3 linked regions of the Rhinolophus ferrumequinum genome follow. The protein of the gene in region 1 interacts with the protein of each later gene in a biochemical or structural test. Links are inferred from orthologs where the notes say so. Each region holds a gene or a part of one and is shown in the gene's direction. Other genes may lie near its edges.

Region 1 (7,042 bases):
AGAATCAGATATTTAGATACCTCTAGTGGAGGTGTGTAAACCAAACACGGTAGACAGAGTATTCAATACCTGCGGGAGGTAGGAAAGACTTCATAGAACTCGTTCTTTTTCCTTTTATTAATTTTATTGGGGAACATTGGGGAACAGTGTGTTTCTCCAGGGTCCATTAGTTCTAAGTTGTTGTCCTTCAATCTAGTTGTGGTGGGCACAGCTCAGCTCCAAGTCCAGTTGCCGGTTTCAATCTTTAGTTGCACAGAGCGCCTCCCACCATCCCATGCTGGATTTGAAACCTCAACCTTGTTGTTAAGAGCACAGCACTCTAACCAACTGAACTAACCGGCCGCCCCCTACATTGCTTTTTAAAACACTGTGTTTTTAAAACACAGTCATTAGGAATTAAGTGATTTAAGAAGCCTTGAAATAAGTTGATTCATTTTTGGTTTTTGTGTTAAGTCTAAAAAAAATTTGTTCAGGTTTTACAGATAATTGGACAAGATGGATCATGCCCATTTGCTTTCAGGGACCATCAATAAGCAACCATCCCTCACTAGCCAGGTTCTGAATTTTGTCTTGTCCTGGAGAAACAGTATTGGGAAAAGGATGATGGCTCCGGAATTGCTGAGTCTATATCTAAGCCTTTTCTCAGTATCTGGGATAAAATCCAACCCTAGTTCTCATTTTAGGCATAGCTTAGAACCATGGAAAAAACACAAAGTTTGGGATTAAACAGAGCAGTCATGAATTTAACGGAAGTATCTGAGCTTCAGTTTTCTCATCTGTAAAAGGAGATGGCAGTTTCTTCAATTGGTTGAAAGGATTAAGTTGGACAATGTGTGTGAAATGTTCAGAGGACTGCTCTACAATGTTAGCCCCCCCAGTTTAGGTGTGGTCTTAGGCTGAATGCACTGAACAGCTGTTACAATCTTGACAGCTTGGTTTACAAAGATGACTAATGCAGTTTTTTCCCTTGGGAAGTTTCTTCCCTTCTGGAAATTTCTTCTCTCCAGTTTCTTCCCACAGTGTTTCTTAAAACTGGTTTAGGGACTAATCACTTGAAAGAGCTACTACAAAATGCATACTGTCAAGCCCCACCGGAGAGAATGGGATTTATTCCATCTGAGATGGGGTCTAGGGATCGACCTTTTTTTTTTTTTTTTTTATAATCAAATAGGTATCTTTATTTTGCTATGGAGAAATGAGTAATTTAAGCATACAAAAGTTTTGATAATCATACAGTAATATTGATTTAGAATTAATGTATGGTGCTGCTATCATATTTTGAATCTATGTTATATTTTCTGATGACACCTCATCTGACTTTTTTTTTTTTTTATTAAATTTATTTTTAATTTATTGGGGTGACAATTGTTAGTGGAATCGACCTTTTTAAAAAGCAGCCCACAGCCTTCTGATGGGGATTGTCTGACATAGTGTGAGACGCTTTGATCTAGGGAGAGACGCTGCTAACTATAATGTACTGTGATGTTTTCTAATAAAGGTGTACAAGGCGAGGGTGCCATTTGAACTATCCTGGAAGTATGGCAGCATTTTTTCAGGAGCTAGAAGGTAACATGATAAAAGCATTTTTAAGGGCCGGCCCGGTGGCTCAGGCAGTTAGAGCTCCGTGCTCCTAACTCCGAAGGCTGCCGGTTCGATTCCCACATGGGCCACTGGGCTCTCAACCACAAGGCTGCTGGTTCTACTCCTCGAGTCCCACAAGGGACGGTGGGCTCTGCCCCCTGCAACTAAGATTGAACAGGACACCTTGAGCTGAGCTGCCGTTGAGCTCCCGGATGGCTCAGTTGGTTGGAGTGTGTCCTCTCAACCACAAGGTTGCCGGTTCGACTCCCGCAAGGGATGGTGGGCTGTACCCCCTGCAACTAGCAACGGCAACGGGACCTGGAGCTGAGCTGCGCCCTCCACAACTAAGATTGAAAGGACAACAACTTGACTTGGAAAAAAGGCCTGGAAGTACACACTGTTCCCCAATAAAGTCTTGTTCCCCCCCAATAAAATCTTTAAAAAAAATAAATAAATAAAAAAATAAAAGCATTTTTAAAAAACAATAAAGAAAAAGAAAAAAAACAAAAAAACAATAAAGGCTCAGACCCCTTCGGGGAAGCGGACTTCCTTGAGTTAGGAAGAAAAAGCCAGAGGAGGGAAAGATGGGAGAGCGAAGGAGGCAGAAATTTTTTTTTATTAAGCCATTTTTCTAAATGGTTATACAAGGCATTGCTTTATTCTCTACAAAGAATTTATACAAGACTTTTTGTGGTACTATTCTGGGTTGGAATCTGGAACTACAACTTATTAGCTTTGTGACCTTGGGCAAGTTACTTCCCAGCCTTAATTTCTTCAGTTATAAAACATATAATCTCTAAAACTTACTAGTATCTTCCATATGAGCATGACATAAAGAATGCAAAACACCTAACTGACCTAGGCACCTAACACATTCAACAATCACGTCACCTGTCTTCAGGCCCTGCCCAAGACTGCAGAGGTCTGTTTTAGGGGAATCCAGACTTTAAAACATGACAACCTATCACAAGCGCTGAAATTGTAGCTATTTAAGTGATAACATATATAACATACAAGTGCTAAAGAGAATGACCTCATCATTCTTGACCACAAACCACCCAGGCTGCCTCCACCAAAACTAGAAAAGGAAGGCAGGATGGGAGAGCAGAAATTCAGGTACCTGGGGAAATAGCTCCTTTAAAACCTTTGTAGTTGTAAAAAAAACAACCACAACAAAAAAACTGTTCTACTACCTTGTTTTATGATTAGACGGCATTTACAATTGCAAGTGGCGGGGGAGTAAGTGGCTTACAGGACCTTGACTCTGGGTTCTCCAGTGCACTTTAGCCTCAAGAGTTCTTGAAAAGTTAATCTGCCATAAATTAAGTGGTCAGCACCTTTGGGGAAATTTAATAAAATGGCGTTTGCTGTAATCTCACAAAGGCCTTGCAAATTGGTCAGCTCAGTGTTGACTGAAGGCGTGAGCAACGTCGCCAGATCTCATTGCGCTGGCACCCTCAGGGTTTACACCCACGTTCAGAGGCATCCGACTGCCTGTCCGCCCAGCCTGGGTAGAGTGAGACTTGAGAAATACTTTTTTTTTAAGGGACGTTAAAAGAAGACGTAAAAGAGCCCTGGTGGCGAGGCAGAACTGCACACTGAGTTTCTTGGCCCTGACACTTGTTGAGCTAGAGGGCTCCGCTAAAGCATAGCACCCAGTCACTGTAAAGACGTCCCCTGAGGAGGGCCAATATGGCGACGGACTCCTCTTGGCACAGCCCTGTTCCCTCCCCCATGAGAGGCGGCTCTAGTAACGCCCATCAGCCAAGATGGAGGCGGTGTCTGGCTTCCTTCGCCGCCTCATTGGACTGAGTGACTGAGTGAGACGCCAATTCTCCTCTGACTACTCCGAGTTCCCACCCTTAGAGTTCATTCGGTGTTTAATTGGCTTTTAGTTCCCGTCAATTTGCGTCTTATCTTGTCTCTTTTCAGCGTTAATCCAATCACAACTTTCCTGGCTGCCCGCCTGATTTCTGATTGGTTTTGATCAACTTCATCCTCTCCCATTCCTGCCTACTTCTTATCGCTCCTCCCACTGGGACTTTGCTCAGGCACGTCCAGGGTTCTGGTTGGTCGTTGTTTTGTCACTCCAACCAAAGCTCTTCCTATCTCTACCTCTCAAGGAGCCCGCCTGGCAGTTGACTGGTTCCTTTCCAAGCCTATCATTTCTAGCTCCCGCCCACATTCACTTCCTGCGTCTTTCATTGGTTTTGAAAATTGAGAGGGCGGCCTTTTAGGGCGGACACCGGGCACGCAACTTTGTCTTACACGCCTTAGAGAGTAAGCGAGTCTTACCATTGGGTAACCTGCCCGCCTTTCTTCTGCAAGTCCCTCCTTCCTCCCTCCCTCATTGGGCGGGGCAGCAGTGAAGGGGAGGGGCCTAGGCCGGGCTTGTGGCGCGCTGCTCCCTCCTCCTTACCCCCCCCTCCCTGTCCGGTACGGGTTCGTTTGCCTCGTCAGCGTCCGCGTTTTTCCCGGCCCCCCCCAACCCCCCCGGACAGGACCCCCTTGAGCTCGTCCCTCAGCTGCCACCATGAGCGGTAAGGATGAGTCCACTCCAAGCTTAGGGGTGGTAGGGGAATGAGGGGGCGCGCGCGAGGGCCGACCAGGCGGTCCCCGCCATGAGGGGGGGCGGGCGGGAGGCGGCGGCGGCGGCCTTGGTCCCGCCCGGGGCGGAGGGAAGGGAGGGAGAAGGGGCAGTGGCGGGGCCTCCGAGGAGGAGGGGGATGGGCCGCCCGCCCCGGGGGAGGGGGCAGAGTGGCCTCGCCCGCCCCCTGCCCGCCCCGGCCACGGGGGGGACGGGCCTTACCCCCCACTACTCGGCCGCCTGCCTAAGGCTCCTCCTGCCGGGGGCTGGAGCCGCGGGGGCGGCCCGAGCAGTGCAGGCCCCGCCCGGGCCAACCGCCTCCCTGGTCCGCCCTCTGGTCGCCGCCTGCCCCAGGGCCCTCCCCACCTTCCGTAGATTTCCCCTCCCCCCCACTGTCCCGCCCTTTCCACGCCCCTCACCCCGAAACCGCCCTTTCCCTCTAGGGTCCGCCCTCAGTCCGCCAGGAAACCTGATTTCTGTGTCCTGGACCCGTTTAGCCCCTTACCACCAGTATTCACAAATGTTTCCCCACTCACACTTCTCAACTTTTTTTCCCTTTGCCCTCCTCTCTTGTTACTTTTTACACTTGAATTTTTCTCTTTCTCCATCTCTTTTGACCCTAATTTTAGCAAGCTTTCCATCCACCCACATGTTGTTTTTTGTTTTATCCTTATTTTTTTCCCCCAGGATACTTTTTCTTGTTTTGAAACTCTTTCAACATGCCCACTGTCCTTCACACTTCCTATGCCAAAAGCACCTTTTCAATATTTTCTGAGTTTAACTTAGTGCAAAGGAGAGTTGAGGCCCAGTTTTGGCACCAATAAGCCTAGCTCATGTGCTACACATTCTACAACTGTTCCTTCTCCCCCAATCCTTTTTTTTTTTTTTTACGCTGGCATGTTTCACCTTCCTGTTAGTCATGCCTGTTTCATCATAGCCTCTTCTATTCTTCCTCACTTTACCCTTTTCCTTCCCTCAACTTTAAGTTGTCTATCCTTTCATTCTTTTTAGACCAAGATCACTCCATGGATGAAATGACAGCCGTGGTGAAGATTGAAAAAGGAGTTGGTGGCAATAATGGGGGCAATGGTAATGGTGGTGGTGCCTTTTCCCAGGCTCGAAGCAGCAGCACAGGCAGTAGCAGCAGCAGTGGAGGAGGAGGACAGGTAAGTGCTGATCAGGACAGAGCGGCCAAGGTGTTGAGAGGATGTACCCATCTTTAGGTGATTATCTCCACAGAAAAGAATTTAGGAAGGGGTTCACCCTTTTAGAGATAGGGAAGTAAGTACAGAGAGACAAGTGATTGGGAGAGCCCCAAAAATGTCAATTTCAGCGTTTTGTTCATTTTCTCTTTATTTGTTTGCACTGTGTTGCTGTTTGTTTATAGTATACTGCCCCCCCCCCTCCCCCCGCAGCTGGGTGTCACTGAACTGATTCCTTTCCTCTGTCTTATTTTTTGGCCAGGAATCCCAGCCATCCCCTTTGGCTCTGCTGGCAGCAACTTGCAGCAGAATTGAATCACCCAATGAAAACAGCAACAACTCGCAGGGCCCAGGCCAGTCAGGGGGCACCAGTGAGCTTGACCTCACGGCCACACAACTCTCACAGGGTGCCAATGGCTGGCAGATCATCTCTTCCTCCTCTGGGGCTACCCCTACCTCAAAGGAACAGAGTGGCAGCAGTACCAATGGCAGCAATGGCAGTGAGTCTTCCAAGAATCGCACGGTCTCTGGTGGGCAGTATGTTGTGGCTGCCACCTCCAACTTACAGAACCAGCAAGTCTTGACAGGACTACCTGGAGTGATGCCTAACATTCAGTATCAAGTAATCCCACAGTTCCAGACCGTTGATGGGCAACAGCTGCAATTCGCTGCCACTGGGGCCCAAGTGCAGCAGGATGGTTCTGGTCAAATACAGATCATACCAGGTGCAAACCAACAGATCATCACAAATCGAGGAAGTGGAGGCAACATCATTGCTGCTATGCCAAATCTACTCCAACAGGCTGTCCCCCTGCAAGGCCTGGCTAATAATGTACTCTCAGGACAAACTCAGTATGTGACCAATGTACCAGTGGCCCTGAATGGGAATATCACTTTGCTACCTGTTAATAGCGTTTCTGCAGCTACCTTGACTCCTAGCTCTCAGGCAGTCACTATCAGCAGCTCTGGGTCCCAGGAGAGTGGCTCCCAGCCCGTCACCTCAGGGACTGCCATCAGTTCTGCCACTTTGGTATCATCACAAGCCAGTTCCAGCTCCTTTTTCACCAATGCCAATAGCTATTCAACAACTACTACCACCAGCAACATGGGAATTATGAACTTTACCACCAGCGGATCAGCAGGGACCAACTCTCAAGGCCAGACACCCCAGAGAGTCAGTGGGCTACAGGGGTCTGATACTCTAAACATCCAGCAGAACCAGACATCCGGAGGCTCAATGCAAGCAAGTCAGCAAAAAGAGGGAGAGCAAAACCAGCAGTCACAGCAACAACAAATTCTTATCCAGCCTCAGCTAGTTCAAGGAGGACAGACCCTCCAGGCTCTTCAAGCAGCACCATTGTCAGGGCAGACCTTTACGACTCAAGCTATCTCCCAGGAAACCCTCCAGAACCTACAGCTGCAGGCTGTTCCAAACTCTGGCCCCATCATCATCCGGACACCAACAGTGGGGCCCAATGGACAGGTCAGTTGGCAGACTCTTCAGCTGCAAAACCTCCAAGTTCAGAACCCACAGGCCCAGACAATCACGCTGGCCCCAATGCAGGGTGTTTCCCTGGGGCAGACCAGCAGCAGCAATACCACCCTTACACCCATTGCCTCAGCTGCCTCTATCCCTGCCGGCACCGTCACTGTGAATGCTGCTCAGCTCTCC
Region 2 (7,053 bases), on another chromosome or scaffold:
CCCCCTGCAACTAAGATTGAAAACAGCAGCTGGACATGGCTGAGCTGTGCCCTCTACAAGTAGATTGAAGGACAACGACTTGGAGTTAATGGGCCCTGGAGCAACACACTGTTCCCCAATAAAATAAAAAAAATTAAAATTAAAAAAATTTGCTAATTTCATACGTGATGATTAAGTCCCTGAAAAAAATTGTGATTAAAAAAAGTTTCTGATTCATAATCCATAAATACAGTAAAGACCAGTGTAAGATGAGGGACCCTGTAGCCTTGGACCTTGGAATAAACCTGCATGCACGGTCAGCCCTAACTTAAAATTAGACTGACAAGAGAAGTGAGCCCAAGCCTATTGCCTGAAAAGGAGGTAAAGGGGATACTGAACCCTCAATGTCACTCCTTAAGTTCCCAATAGGTAGGGTCTAAGACGTCACATCCAGGACCCAGCTGATGTGACCTGGCCTCTGGCTAACTGCCCATGGTGACCACAAACAAGTATGCAGTTTAAAAGGCAGTGATCGTTTACAATTTAAATGTGATTGAACAATGGTTCTTCCCTACTACATAGGCTGAGGCAGGTGTGTGTTTTAAGTTCATTGCCCTGATTCTTTCAACCTATACTAATAAATGGGTAGGCCTTAGCCTAAGGTCTGACAACTGATTCACTGGCGATTTTTTAAAGTTTTGAAATTGTCCACCTTTAAGTCCATATTTTGGATTAAGCTTTTAAGCCATTTGTTTTTGGATAAGACAGTAACCTCCACCAATCAAGTAAATCTTCACTTAGAGCCTTGGATTTCCTTGCCTGGGCATGGAGAGGTCGGTGACTCCATTCTTCAGACAATGGGACTTCATGGCCTCTAAACTCTTCTGTAAATTTTCGTAAGTTGGCTTGTGTGAAGCCCTTTTCTTTGTAATCTGAGTACAAAGAAAGAATTCAAACTTCTATTAGTCTAAATTGATAGCAAAAGAAAGCCATCACATTCTCCCAACATCCTGATAAAATGATGACTGCATTTTTATAGAATAGTCTAGAGCAAGGATGAAAAATAGTGTCCCGTTCAGTGATGGGAGGTCCTCAGGAAAATCCACTACATAGGGCCTAAGAAACCCAGACATTGCCACATAATAATCTTTCCTTTTCTCAAGACGCCCAGGAGGTTAACAGGCTGTGCCTACTGTCTATTGTTTTTCAGCAAGGTAGGTGAAAGTCTTTGTGCCACTTCCAAGAGATAAACTGCAAATCTCTAGTTAAAGGAAGAACCGAATACTACCTGAAAATTTCCTGTTCCGTCTATTTATTTAGAAACCATGCTTGCTTGCTTTTTGTTTTTCTATAAAAGAACAGAGAAACTGGTAGCGTCCCAAATAATACTGGGAATAACATCAGCCTTAAAGATAGCATTCATGAACCCACTCAGTGTGCTGTCCAAAACAAGCTTCTAGTGGGTTGCCTATAACTCACCCAGCACCATCACCAAGAAGCCACACTCTTTCTGGGGCCGAAAACCATTTGGACAGTGGAAGAATCTCACACTGAGGCAGAGGAAGGAAAGGAGTTAAGCGCATTTGATAGGGAAGAATGAGAGGAAAAACTCCTTTGAGCAATGTCTCGTTTCTGTCTCACTATGACTAGTTATCCCTAACTTTTTGCAAATCTTAGAACACAGACCTTTGGTTGATGTCACAATACTCTTTCCCATGGAACTAGGATGCAGCTTCATGTTCCTTTCTAACCCACAGCTCCAAATCACCACCACCACTGGATCTGAGCTGGCATGAGATCAGAGGCTTTTTGATGTCTTTGCCCGTCTAGAATGATCAACACAAATTCCGCACAGCTCCCCGGGTCACCAACCCTTACAACTCGGAGAGTTATCTTACCAAGTAATATATATATCGCCCATCTCTCTTCAGAACAGCCACTTCTCCAGATTTCTTTTCTAAGAGAAAGTTATTTCATAGAAAGGAAAATCAAAACACTTATCTCCATTCTTAGATTTTAAGAAATCTTTACAGATCTGAGTTAACCTCAGAACTGGAAATAATCTAAAGAAATCTATTGTCTCCTATGAACACTTTGCTTCTTATCAGCATTCCTAAATACTGCATTTTCTTAACTTCTACCTTCTTTAATTATGTTTTCTCAATGTTTTCCTCACCCCCTATCTTTTGTCCTGCCCTTATTTTCAAATACACCCTTATTTGTTCACTTAAAAAACTTTAATGTGTAGTTTTTTTGCCTTGAAATATTTTAGAATGTACAGCATTTTTCATTTGCCAACTGTGTGTTCATTCAATAATGATCTTTTTACATACAAAGAGCTAACGTTTAAGCGTTACAGAGACCACAGGTGTATAAAAAGGTTCCTAATTATTATGAGTTTTCAATCAAGAAAAGGTGTCATGTTTACAAATAACAATACAAAGCAATAAGAAATTGCTCTTTTAAAGGCTGGCATCAGAATTGCCAGTGGAGACCCTGATTAAGCCTGGACTGTGGTCTGAGCAACTGTTCCAGAAACTCCACATGATTCTGATACACATCTCTGATTTAAAATCATTGGTAGAAAGTGATGGGGGGGTCTATAAGGAAGCGGAGGATTCTAAACTCCTGAATGCGATATCCGTGAACAGAGGATTCTGAATGCCAAGCTAATGCCTGTGGACTTTGCTACGCACTCCAGTGTTATTAAGGGTTTCCGAGAAGTGGAGTATTATTCAGTTTTATGACAGAGGAGGAAGAGATCAGCGACTTTTACAAGAATTCAGGTTAGGTGTGATAAGGACCCAAACTAGAGACCAGTTTTGTGGAGGAAAAGCTGAATCTGATGAGTTAAAAGTACTCCGTGGTTATGAACTCGCTCTTTGCATATGTATCTTGTTTAATAATTAAAGTATTAATATAACACAGTCAAAAGAGGCTCTAGTGAGGGCAAGTTAAACTGTTTTCAAAACTCACGTTGGTTTAACAGTTCCTGCACCCCTCCAAATTTCTTCTTGAAGAGTACAGCTATCCCAGCCCCCATTCGACAATCCTCACTGATACAGTGGGCTAGAGAGTCTGTTTTGGGGCATGCAAAAAGGTCTCCTTTCACATAAGTGATCTGAAACGGGCAAAGGGAAAGAAAATGTTTTATTAGATACTGAAAAATACTACACTATTACTTTCACTTTCCTTTACTGTGTCCTCCGCCCCACCCCTCATTGAAAGCCAAATCCTCAGAATTTAAGGGGTTAACCACAATGAATTAAAGCTTGTGTAAAGAAAAGTGACAGACGGTCTCTGCCTAAGTTGTATTAGCCTTTCTGAAGTAAACCAGCTAGAGGGGGGGAAAAAGACAATTCAATTATTGGTTTAATTAAAAAGTGTTTATGCTTGTAACCTCAATTATTCTGAATTTCAGTTCACCACTAAGTTAACAGTTGTTACCCACTCTGCTTCCTTCTGGATCTTCATTAGGGCTGCCGGCCATGATACTGAGTCGGTATCTCCAGAATTAAAATGTTTCTTCAGCTACGAGAAGGGAAAAGGACAAATGCTTAGGCAGCCTGAATATATTATAGCCAGATCGCCCCGACCACCCCCTTGTTGCCCCAACTGAAAGTGAGTTCGTTCAGCCTCTGGAAGGAACACAGAAGTGCTCTGGGGCGAGGCAGCCTGCCTAGGTTCGCAGGCAGCCAGGCCCGCTAGTATTTCGCGCTTTCCTGGAGCGCCCCGCTCCGCCAGCGAAGAAAAGGCGGCCCCACGACACGCCTCCTCCTTGGCCCGCGCCCGAGGCGGGCGGATTTAGGACGGGCTCCTTAAACTCAGTAGGTTTGGCCTACAAGAAAAAGGGAGGGGCTTGGGGCCGCAACTAGGGAGTGTACGGACCAGGGGGAGTGTACTGCCCGGCCGTAGGCAAGAGGAGAGGAAAGGTGGCCTCTCAAGAAAGGCTTCCTCCCCTTTTGGGGGGTAGGGCAAGAAGTCTAGAGAAGCCTCCCATTCTCTGTTTCCTACCCTACGGCGGGTCAGCGAGGTGCAGAGCCTGTCCCGGAGTCCCGGGGGAAGGAGCGGGAAGGCTCGCTCAACGCCCCAACGTACCAGTTACCCTTCACCTGGAGTCGGCGTTACGAGGTCCCGCCCCACGGGAAAGGGCTCCAGATCCGGCCCTGGTAGGTGGGAAACAGCAGACAAGTCCAGACGCGGAGCCAATCCCGCCACAGCCCTTTAATTGCACGCACCTAAGATGGCCGCCCACTACCCGGGAGCGATGCGGAAACGAGCCCCTCTAGCTAGCTAGCCGAAACTGCACTCTTTGGTTATGGCCGCCGAACTTCCGGCGGTGAATTCTGCGGAGTCTCCTGCCGCCACCCGGGCATGCGTAACGAGACAGCCGACCTCGAGCGGGGGAAAAACGGCGCTTGCGCATTAGCCCCAGAGGTGTGTCTCCAGTGGCCGCATAGAAAGGGGTTGGAGGTTGGCAAAGAAGCTAGTTAGCGCCTGCGTAGTATTGCGTTCAGAACGGTGTTTGGAGTCGCACGGTTTGGGGCGTGCCCAGGGCGCCTGCGTATTCCTCCGGTCGGTAGTGGTACCTAATTAGGAAAGTGGGCGTGGTTTAAGGGGACGCCTGCGCAGTGCTCTTTCAACGGGGGTGGGGCGAGCCCCGAGCGGGGGGTTAGGGGGCGTGGCCTCAGAGGCGCCTGCGCGGAGGCGGTTGGAGGGAGGCCCGATTCCCCTTTGTTCGGGTTCGCCATTTTGCGAGGCAGCGGCAGTGGCGGCGGCAGCGGCGGCTGGAGCCTCTGATTGGGTTTCGGAGTCCGGTACTGGAGCCAATCAGCGCGGGCAGCGAACCGGGGGAGCGAGGCACGGTGAGTGTGAGGAGCCAATATCCAGCGGCCCAGAGCCGGCCCCAGCGCCCCGATTGGCGGGTCTCGCTGACCACTCAGGAGAGGCCCAGGCGCCCGTCGAGCCTGGGGAGTCGAGCTGAGCCTAGCCGAATGGGGTGGCTGGGGCCCCCGGCTGGGAGCCTGCGAGCGCCGCGGGGCACTCCCGGCCGAGGCCTGCAGGGGGCCGCCCCGCACGGAGATGGCGCCCCCGGGGGCAGGCACCTCGGGGTCCAAACACTTGCAGGGTGCCGGAGCCAGTTGGGGATGCGTCCCGGTTCCCCCAACTCTTAGGCCCCGGTTCTCAGGCCCCAGGCTCGGGAGTGGCGGGCTTGCCTGCCACGAATGCCCCTACGCTCAGGTACACACACGCGCACGCCTCGCTGCCTCGGCGGTTTTCTCCTGGTGGTTCCGACCTCACACTTAAGCCCGCCCTTGCTCTCTTCCCGCTCCGGCGCTCGGGACGGGACACCTCCCCCCGCGGGGCCCGCGTACCCCAGCCCTCCGTGAGCTGGGTCTGTCTGTCGCCCTCCTGGGTCCGCAGGGAAGACTGGGCAAGACACGTGCCATGACCCACAGGGCCCGAGTGCGGCGGGGAGAGGGGGCCGGCCCGCCCGCCCGCCCCCGCCGTCTCCGCGGACCGGATGGCGGGGAGGCCGTCTGCCCACTCCCCCTACCCGCTGCGTCCCTCCCAGCACGCTCGGCCCGGGTCTGCGGCCCGGCGCCGTTGCCACCCCCTTTTTGGCTCGTCATTTCCTCTAATCCCCGCCCCGCTTGCCAGGCCCGACCCGCACACCTCAGTCTTGGAGCCCAACCAGACCGTCTCCCTTTCTCCCCCGGGCGCCAAGGCCCGTCCGTTCGCTGCCTGGAACCTCACTTGGAGAAAACTGCTGGCCCTGTGCGTTCCTTTTCCCGGAGGCTGCACAGCTTGCTTACGATTTGGTTACTCATCCGTCGCTCATCGTGCGAACGCTCCTTCCCCCGAGGATGTACAATTCATTTTTCTTTCACCTTTCTGTGTCACTTTGAACGTGTCCGGCTTGACGCAGTTAGCTCAGTCCACAGCTGTCTCTTGGTTTATTTTTTTATAACATCCTTTCTAATTCCATGTTGACATGTTCTCAACAGATGTCGTGGGGTTTTCATTAGGATTAGGAGAAATACCTGTTGACAGGCAAATCTGGAGCAGTTAGTGTGGAACAGACGTACGTCTCTGTGCTGGGGTGGGAGTGGGTAAAGGTAAACGAGCACCTTCCCTGCTGGTGGAGATTGACAGGTGAACAACTAATACCTAACGGTTAGTGGAATAACGGGACCAAGTTCAGTTCTGCAAAGTACAGTACTGGTGTGTGAGCTACCAGTAGCCTCGGTGGAAGGCTTAACACAGCCACACTTCTGATGGGCCTCCAAGAAGGATGGGGTTTCTTCTAATGGGACAGAATACAGGAGCCTTGCTCACAGAGAGAAGAGCCTGGGGTGAGGCACCACATTGTGCCGTGTGCTCAGAGGGTAGACGGGAAAGGGCAGTGGGCAGCAGTGGGGACGGTTTAGGCCAGCTGGTAAAAGCACTTGTCTATCTTAGGGAGGAATATTTTGTAAGATTGGAAAAACAAACTTCGGACTTGTGGGATTCTGTCCCATAACAGTGGCTGGCTTCTTTTGGGGAACAAAGGGAATTTTCTTCCCTCAGACGTTAACAGTTTGTATTTATGTGAAGTGCCTAGTGCAATCCCTAGCACATAGATTAAGGTATGCGGTGCTGGTTTTTATAATCACATCTACTAAGCTCATACAACTACTAGGTTTCAGAAAACTCCTAGTCCAGTGCTCTTTTACTGTTAAAACTTGGGAGACCGTTTTTGTTTTCACTTTTTAGGGCGAATTTTTCATTGTTTAAATCATTTTTTAAAAATTCAGTTAATTATTATCCACGTTAAAACAAGAGGCAATTTGTCTTAGATATTTTTCAAAACACGTATGTATCTGGTGACTTGAAAACAACCACTTTTGCTAGATGTTCTAAAAGGCAGTTACAGTCTGTTTACTTTTTTGCGGACCATCTGTAGAGCCTCCACCTGTCTGCAGAGGAACTTCTTTGCCTGGAATTTTGAGAGACAGTAGTCTGGCCTCTTTCACTTGACAAATGGGGCTTTTTAGTCTTGTTTTTCATGCTGGCTCTTCATTTGGAGTACTC
Region 3 (7,225 bases), on another chromosome or scaffold:
GCGGGGCAGTAAGGGAGGGGCTGGAAACCCCCAGGTGGGTGGATGTCCAGGGGAGAGATCCCTGCCCCCCCCATCCTTCTTGGGTCTGCAGAGAAGAAGGCACCTCAGCAGACGAGGCTCGACCCCACGGCACATTCAAATCAGGAAGGGGGGCATTTCGAAGTGACAAGAACAGAATAGATAAAGAGCAGAGTTCCCGCCCAATACCCTGAACCTCATCAGAACCCCAGGACTTTTCCACAACCAAGGTTGGTAAAAAGAGGAATTTCCAACTTCCTGGTCCAATTAGAGCTGGGAGCAGATTGCATTTCATTTAAAGAAATAAACATGACATTTTATATCCTGTGTTGTGTGATTTAAACCCATTTCATATACCAAGGGAATACATTGATGGCAACCTGTCCAGAGAGTCCCTCAGGAGGGACTCAAAAGGGGAATTACTAGTTCTAAGAATTGGTAAACCCAAAGGAGGCTTGACTTCAGGACAGGTCTGATCCAGGAGCTCTGTCTCAAGCTAGTAGCAGCTCCAGCCTCACCACATCCAGAGAAAGAAGAGCCACCTCTTCCTGGTGCTCTCATAGGAGGTAAGCCTCTCTGTCCTTGGAGCCTTGTGAACATCTGTTTCAGTGTCACTGGCCTGAAGTGACCGTGCTTTGCTGAGCCAGTTCCTGCCGTAGGGGAAGGTCTGCGTGGGTGCCCATAGCCAGCCCTGTGGTAAGAGAGGAATTACCCTCCTCCTATCAGACCAGCCTCTGGAGCAGAGGGGACAGAGGTTGTGGCCCAAACAATTTGGTTGCTATTGACAATGCTGGTTGGTGGTCCCCAAGGTCCCTACCTGCCCTGTTGTACTGGTCACCTGCTCGGAGCTGCCACGAAAGTACCTGGACCTTCTGCTCCAGACAAACCTGGGCGGGAGCAGGCCTTGGGCCAGCCCCTGAGATTGTGGCCGGGGGCATGCTTTGCACAGTAGATTGATGGCAAAATGTCTTCCCATAGCCATGTCCCTCACCTTGTGACCTCCCATCAGGAGGCAGAGTCTATTTCCCCCAGCCCTTGACTTGCTTTGGCCAATAGGGTGAAAAAGTGGCTGTGTGCCAGTTTAGAGCCTGGGCCTCAAGTGGCCTTGGAGCTCCCTCTTGTTCTGAAACCCTGCCCAGCCTAGGTGGTCTGCTGGGATGAGGTACCATGGGGAGGAAAGCCAGTTGGCCCATCAGAGGCCATCATCCCCCACCACCCTACAAACCAGCAGACTCCAACATGTGGGCCCAGCCAGGACCAGAACTTCCCCATGCCCCCCCAAACTAAGTTGTAGATTCATGAGCAACCATGAATGCCTGTTTGTTCAAAGCACTTAGCTCTGAGGTTTCTCCCAAAGCAACAGGTAACTGATGTGCCCTCAGGAGCTGAGGATGCTTGCCCTGCTCCCTGCACAAACCCTTGGAGAGAGAAGCAGGCTTCCTGGGCGAGAGGGCTAGCCAGGGAAGATAAGGTCCAGCTGGTGTGAGAAAGCTCTCTCTGGACCATCTGGGGAACTGACATTCTGCTAACGTGTGTTTTCTACGTAAGTGCAGCCAAAGGACTCGCACTGACAATATCTGAAACTCACTTGGGTGGGGGGCTTTGGAGAAAGTTAAAAAGCACATTTTCAGGCCTCGTCCAGAGATTCATTTGTGAGGCCCAGGGATCTGCACTTAGCTGTGTGGCACCATGGGAGCACTGAGGTGCCAGCCTTTTCTCTAAGCTGGGGACGTTCAGGACCAGAGGGAAGCACGATTTGTGAGGGAGCCAGGGATGCTCACAGAAGTTCAGTGTCAAGTGAGGTTTGGAGAGGACTTGAGGGCAGCTTTTGAGGACGAAAGTGGTATTTGTCATGATTTTGTTTTTCAACATCACATCTTTAATGTGTTAAAAGTTACAAATAGAAATCTCTAGCTTTTCTTACTAGGTTGTGATATTCAAACTACAATCTTATTTATAAATCTGGTCATTTGTAGCTGTCATTTTGATTAGTCTTGTATGGTCCCGTTTATAAGCTGAAATCTCCTTTAACATTTAAACTGCATGTATACATGTAGAATCTAAATTTATATTTTAGCATTTTAGTTGTCCTCCACCAAGTATTTAAAAATTCCTATAGATGTTTAAATGTCTACATTTCTCTTAAACTTCTAAATTCTCTTTAACATTCTAATTATGATCACAAACTTTGGAAAATCTTGTACCTTCCAACTTAAAATCACTATCAAAATTAAATACTGAACCACATAGTTCACACTGGAAATCAGGTTTATCTTATACTCTACCATGCCAAATTCTCTTATAATTACATAACGTTTTAAACACAGAGGTTGTTTATAAACGCAACACAAAAATATATATTTTTTAAAGATTTTATTGGGGAAGGGGAACAGGACTTTATTGGGGAACAGTGTGCATTTCCAGGACTTTTTTTTTTTTTTCCAAGTCAAGTTGTTGTCCTTTCAATCTTAGTTGTGGAGGGTGCCCTTCAGCTTCAAGTTGTTGTTTTTTCAGTCTTAGTTGTGGAGAGCACAGCTCAGCTCCAGGTCCAGTTGCCGTTGCTAGTTGCAGGGGGCACAGTCCACCATCCCTTGCGGGAGTCAAACCGGCAACCTTGTGGTTGAGAGGACACGCTCCAACCAACTGAGCCATCCGGCAGCTCAGCTGCAGCACAGCTCAAGGTGCCGTGTTCAATCTTAGTTGCAGGGGGGCGGAACCCACCATCCCTTGTGGGACTTGAGGAGTTGAACTGGCAACCTTGTGGTTGAGAGCCCACTGGCCCATGTGGGAATCAAACTGGCAGCCTTCGGAGTTAGGAGCATGGAGCTCTAACCGCCTGAGCCACCAGGTCGGCCCCTCAACACAAAAATATTAATGTCTGGTTTTGATTTGCTTAGTCGGTTCCATATATGATTCAACCTTCTGGGTTAAAGATCCCCTCTCAGAACACAGTCCATGCCAAGGCATTTGAAGTCACCTCCTCACTGCTTGAAGGCGCCTAGGGACCAAAGGTTATGGCGGTGGCCTGAGAGCTGGTATTCTCAGAACAAAGGGGCTGGCGTGCACCTGTGCAGTGCTATGCTGAGTCCTCCAGCTCGCCACCTTCTCCCTCGGAGGTAGGTACTGTTATTATGCCCGTATGACAGGTGACATAACTGGTGAGACTTGCTTAAACAATTGGGATTCTCACTCAGGCAGGAGGGATCCAGGGCCTGCACTCTCTTGACCCTTGGAGTTGCACCAGAGGCCCCTGAGAGCTCCAGGCTTCTGCCGCACTTTGGCAAGACCTGGATGAGAGTGCTCCTCCACGAAAGGGTTCAGTCGTTCGGGTCCTGACACCCATTGCCTCAGGTAGGGATAATCCAGACTCTTAACCTGACATCTGGACCGGGTTCCTAACCTCCAAGATCTAATTGCCTCCCCCGACCCACACCAGTCCCAACCTCCTGGCACACTGGGCAGCCTTCAGTTTCCTGGACATGCCAGCCCATCTCTCCCGACCCGGGTTCCCTCCACTTGGAACTCTCTTCTCCCTTCTAGTCCTTCCAGTTCTCAGCTCCGAGGTCGCTTCCTCCGGGGAGCCCTCTTAAATTCTGGTTGAGTGCCTCTTCCGGGTTCCCGCAGATGGACCGGCTGTGGTTCCCTCCGGTCTCCACCACCAGCCTGGGAGAAAGTCCGGGATCACGGGGCCATACACCGACTTAGGGCCTGGCACGCCGGGGGTCGCAGGTGCCCTGCAGGAGCTGCAGATCCAGGCCCACTTTCCGGGTGATAGTAGAGACCCCGGGAACATTGCTCTCAAAGGCCTCACTAACGGGAGGAAAGCGACGCCAGGAGCGGAGCCTGAGCGTACCGGGTATTTGCGCCGCGGGACGGCTGGCCTGAACTAACGTTCACCTACGCGTATGAGCTGCCCGACGGCCGTGTCAGTTCGCAGACCACAACTCCCGAGAGGTCTTGCGGGCGAGCGCTGGGGCGCCGACCGCGTCTCTCGCGAGAAGACGGGAGTTTGAGCTCACGGGCGTAGGCGGGGCCGGAACAAGGCGCTTTTCAAAGTGGTAATAGATGGTTTTTTTGTCCAATAGAATTGAAAATATACCTCCTCGACCCGTAGAACGCGGGAGTACGGGCGGCGGCATCCAATGGTGATGCGAGGGGGGCGGAGCTGAGGCCTCCGGAGCGGAAGTGGATCGGTATTGAGGCGGCGGTGTGTCGCTGGAGGGCTTCTCAGCAGCAGTTTTCGAAGGTGCATCCTACCTCGAATGCGTCGGCGGTGGCGCCTGCCGGACTAAACCAGTTTCAAGTACGTCCATGCTTCGCGGGGAGGGAGCGGCAAGCCAGGCCGGGCAGATTCGGGCTTCGGGCGGCTTCGCGGCCCAGGGAGCCGCCTTAGCGCGGTCGACCCCGCTCGGGCCCCGACGCCCGACCGGGCCTCTCCCGGAACCGCAGGCTGGGCTCGCCCGCCGTCCGCGCGGCTGCACGAGCCCGGTTTGGCCCGTGCAACAAGTGCGGAGGCCACCTTGGCTTTTCGCTGCCGGGGCGGGCAGCGGCCACGGCGCTCAGTCTGCAAAGTAGCCGGGGAAACAGGCTGGGAGGGGGAGGAACGCGCCCAAGGTCACTCGGGGAGTCGGGCAGGGCGGCCCAGGGCGGGGGGCTGTGTGGGCCGTTCCGGGGAGACCTAGGCAAGGTTTTTGTTCCCCGCCGACAGCGCCTCCTTTGTGTGTTCGCGCCGCCGCCCTGCCATCGTGGGCCTGTGAGCCAGCGCGAACCGCGTGGCGGAGCCTCCTGTGGACTTGGACACTGCTGGGGGAGGTGGGAGTTGGGCCAGGGGGCGCTCAGCCCGGGGCCGGAGCATAGTCAGTCCTCAGCTTCCGGTGGTTGGAGGAACCCGTGACTGCTGGGGCCGGTGGCCCAGACCCCGCCCCTTAGGTGCCTGAAGGTGAATCAGGGTCCGACGCTAAGGCTGCAGACCTGAAACATGTCCTCAGTGAATGCCATTTTCCACCCTTTGACCCGTCGAGGGAGGAGACTGGAGCCCCCGGTAGCCGTTTTTGTGGGGTTTTGGCTTTTATCCTTGTCCGTGCCCATCGACGTTCGCAGTCATACCTTTGTTCTGCTTCTGCGGCAAGTCCTCGGAGCCAGAGTTAGGGTCTCAGCTCTGCAGTCAGCCTAGGCTGCCTCAGTGGTTGGGGTGACTGGGGCGGGCTGCCCAAGGTCACACAGCCAGCTAGCTGCCGGCGGAATGAATCTAAAACCGCGTTTTCCTAACTGCAGGATTAGGTCTTTGAGTTCAGTGACCAGGAGTTTTGGGACCTCTGGTAATGAAAAGGAGAGACGATGAAAGAAGTCTTTTTTTTCTTTTCTTCCTCTAGTGATTTTTTTTTTTAACGTGTGGGGAGAGACATGTTGGGTTCAGTTTTATCTATGAATTTGAGATGAGATGGGAACATTCAAGTTCCCATCAAGAAAGATGTATTATTGCTGGCTTTTGTATTGCTTGAACTTGAGCTTCCAACTCTTATTCACAAATATTGCTTTATACAGTGTTAACCTTTTTACAATGATCACCCCCTCCAGCTTTTTTAGACATTGTTTTTCTAACTGCCCTCTTGAAATTTTGGTGCTGCTTACATGTATGCCTTCTTGTGTACTGTATGCATATCTATGCTTTCTCCATAAAAAGAGGGAGATCTTTTTGCTCCCATTTGAGGATGCATATTCTAAATCACATTTTTAAGGTTGTGTGTGCCAAGCTTCCTGCTTGGGGTACAGCAGTGAACAAAATACAGGACCTGGTGGGGCTGAGGCCTGAGGGTGGAGGGAAGGAGACAAGTTCCCTGAAGTGGAAATACAAACTGTTCAAGAGATGGGACTGGAAAGGTAAGCAAGAACCAGGTCTCAGGTCTTTGGTGTACCTCCCTGCTGAGGAATTCGGAATTTGTCTTAAGGCCAAGTGGGAGATCACTAAATTGAGTCCTAATCAGGGAAGTAACCCAGTTACATTTGCATTTTAGAAAAATCACTGTGCTATGAGAAGGATGGCTTAGAAATGTGGCCGAGACTGGTGGCCTTGGGACCAGTTAGGAAGTGAGAAAAGGGTTGCTTGGATGAGGGAGTCACAGCCAGTCAGGGCAGTTTTTAAAGCCTCTTTACTACAGGCTGTTAGCAAAGTCCACATCTAGTAGTCTCTACCCCCCCACACCCCAATTTCTGGAAAATATGTGCACGAGGTGATTGCTTTGTATGCTGTGTAAAAATGGCTTGGTATGTTCTATGTGTGTTACATTTCTTACCTTGAAACAATTGCCCTACTTTCATTGTCCCCAAAGACATTGTCCCCAAAGTAGGAATCCTTGAAGGACAAGGCTCCGGTAGAATAATATTACAGGGTTGATTTTGTTACTAAGATATAATTCCCGTGTGTGCCCTTCTGACTTGTCTTTTCTAAATAGCTGGTTTTTCAGCAGGACTTTGGGAGTTGAGAGCAAGGCATTTTGAGGTTTCCTCTGAAGGAGGGAGCCCCAGAGCCCCAGATGCTGTACCCCGAGGTCAGATTTCAAGTGAAAGGAGACCTGGCGTCAGGACGGAGGGTGCCCTCCCTGGATTGGGGATTTCCTTGCAAGTGTTTTTTCGGGGTGTGAATAAGAACTGGCACTTTTATGGAATACCACACCATGCAGAATAGGAAAGGCCTGGAAAAGATGCAAGCTGAGTCTTATCAGTAGCTTTCTTGTGCAAAAGAGAAATTGTGACCATAAGGCTTTCTGGGAGTTTTCTTTTTAAGAAGCCACGTGGTCTCCTGGGGTACGCACTGCAGAACGGATGCACCTCCAGATAGCTGAGTAAATTGGCTTTCTCTATAGGTTGGTTTGACATTCACAAACTTACAATTAAAAGGAAACAATGTCCACGTGACATTACTAAGGGTGATGCCTCCTTGTTTTGGAATCGGAACGACAGGTCTTCCCGTGTTAGGAGCGTGATGCAGCTGTCTGTAGGGGTGGCTGTTGGCTCGCAATGGGATGGCGTCTGCTGTTGAGCAGCCGCCATTTTGGCTCTTGCAGACCCGCCTGCCAGGTAGCTGTGGCTCGCTCCATTTCACCTGTCCTGAAGACAGGGCGGTCAGGTCGCTTGCTCAAGGTCACACAGGTGGTAAGCAGACCTAGCCTTTGAACCTCAGGCTCCATCTTTCTTCCTTTTGCTTCAC

Evidence for each region. The genes of interacting proteins can lie anywhere in the genome.
Region 2: the proteins of SP1 (region 1) and NFYA form a complex in vitro, tested with the Homo sapiens proteins (2 studies listed by BioGRID). The link is inferred for Rhinolophus ferrumequinum from reciprocal best matches to the Homo sapiens genes SP1 and NFYA.
Region 3: the proteins of SP1 (region 1) and RNF4 form a complex in vitro, tested with the Homo sapiens proteins (2 studies listed by BioGRID, with this or other methods). The link is inferred for Rhinolophus ferrumequinum from reciprocal best matches to the Homo sapiens genes SP1 and RNF4.

What each region holds. Positions count from the first base shown.
Region 1 is NC_046293.1:53,251,476-53,258,517, forward strand, and holds the start of SP1 (transcription factor Sp1), read left to right. Parts: upstream 1-4,016; 5' UTR 4,017-4,114; coding exon 4,115-4,121; intron 4,122-5,179; coding exon 5,180-5,334; intron 5,335-5,632; coding exon 5,633-7,042. UniProt on the Homo sapiens protein: Transcription factor that can activate or repress transcription in response to physiological and pathological stimuli.
Region 2 is NC_046286.1:10,792,329-10,799,381, forward strand, and holds the start of NFYA (nuclear transcription factor Y subunit alpha), read left to right. Parts: upstream 1-4,020; 5' UTR 4,021-4,148; exon of another isoform or gene 4,149-4,416; intron 4,417-4,697; exon of another isoform or gene 4,698-4,844; intron 4,845-4,853; exon of another isoform or gene 4,854-5,220; intron 5,221-7,053. Other genes in the region: ADP-ribose glycohydrolase OARD1, read right to left, coding at 799-911, 1,878-1,936, 2,956-3,100, 3,431-3,469. UniProt on the Homo sapiens protein: Component of the sequence-specific heterotrimeric transcription factor (NF-Y) which specifically recognizes a 5'-CCAAT-3' box motif found in the promoters of its target genes.
Region 3 is NC_046288.1:86,741,046-86,748,270, reverse strand, and holds the start of RNF4 (E3 ubiquitin-protein ligase RNF4), read left to right. Parts: upstream 1-4,192; 5' UTR 4,193-4,321; intron 4,322-7,225. UniProt on the Homo sapiens protein: E3 ubiquitin-protein ligase which binds polysumoylated chains covalently attached to proteins and mediates 'Lys-6'-, 'Lys-11'-, 'Lys-48'- and 'Lys-63'-linked polyubiquitination of those substrates and their subsequent targeting to the proteasome for degradation.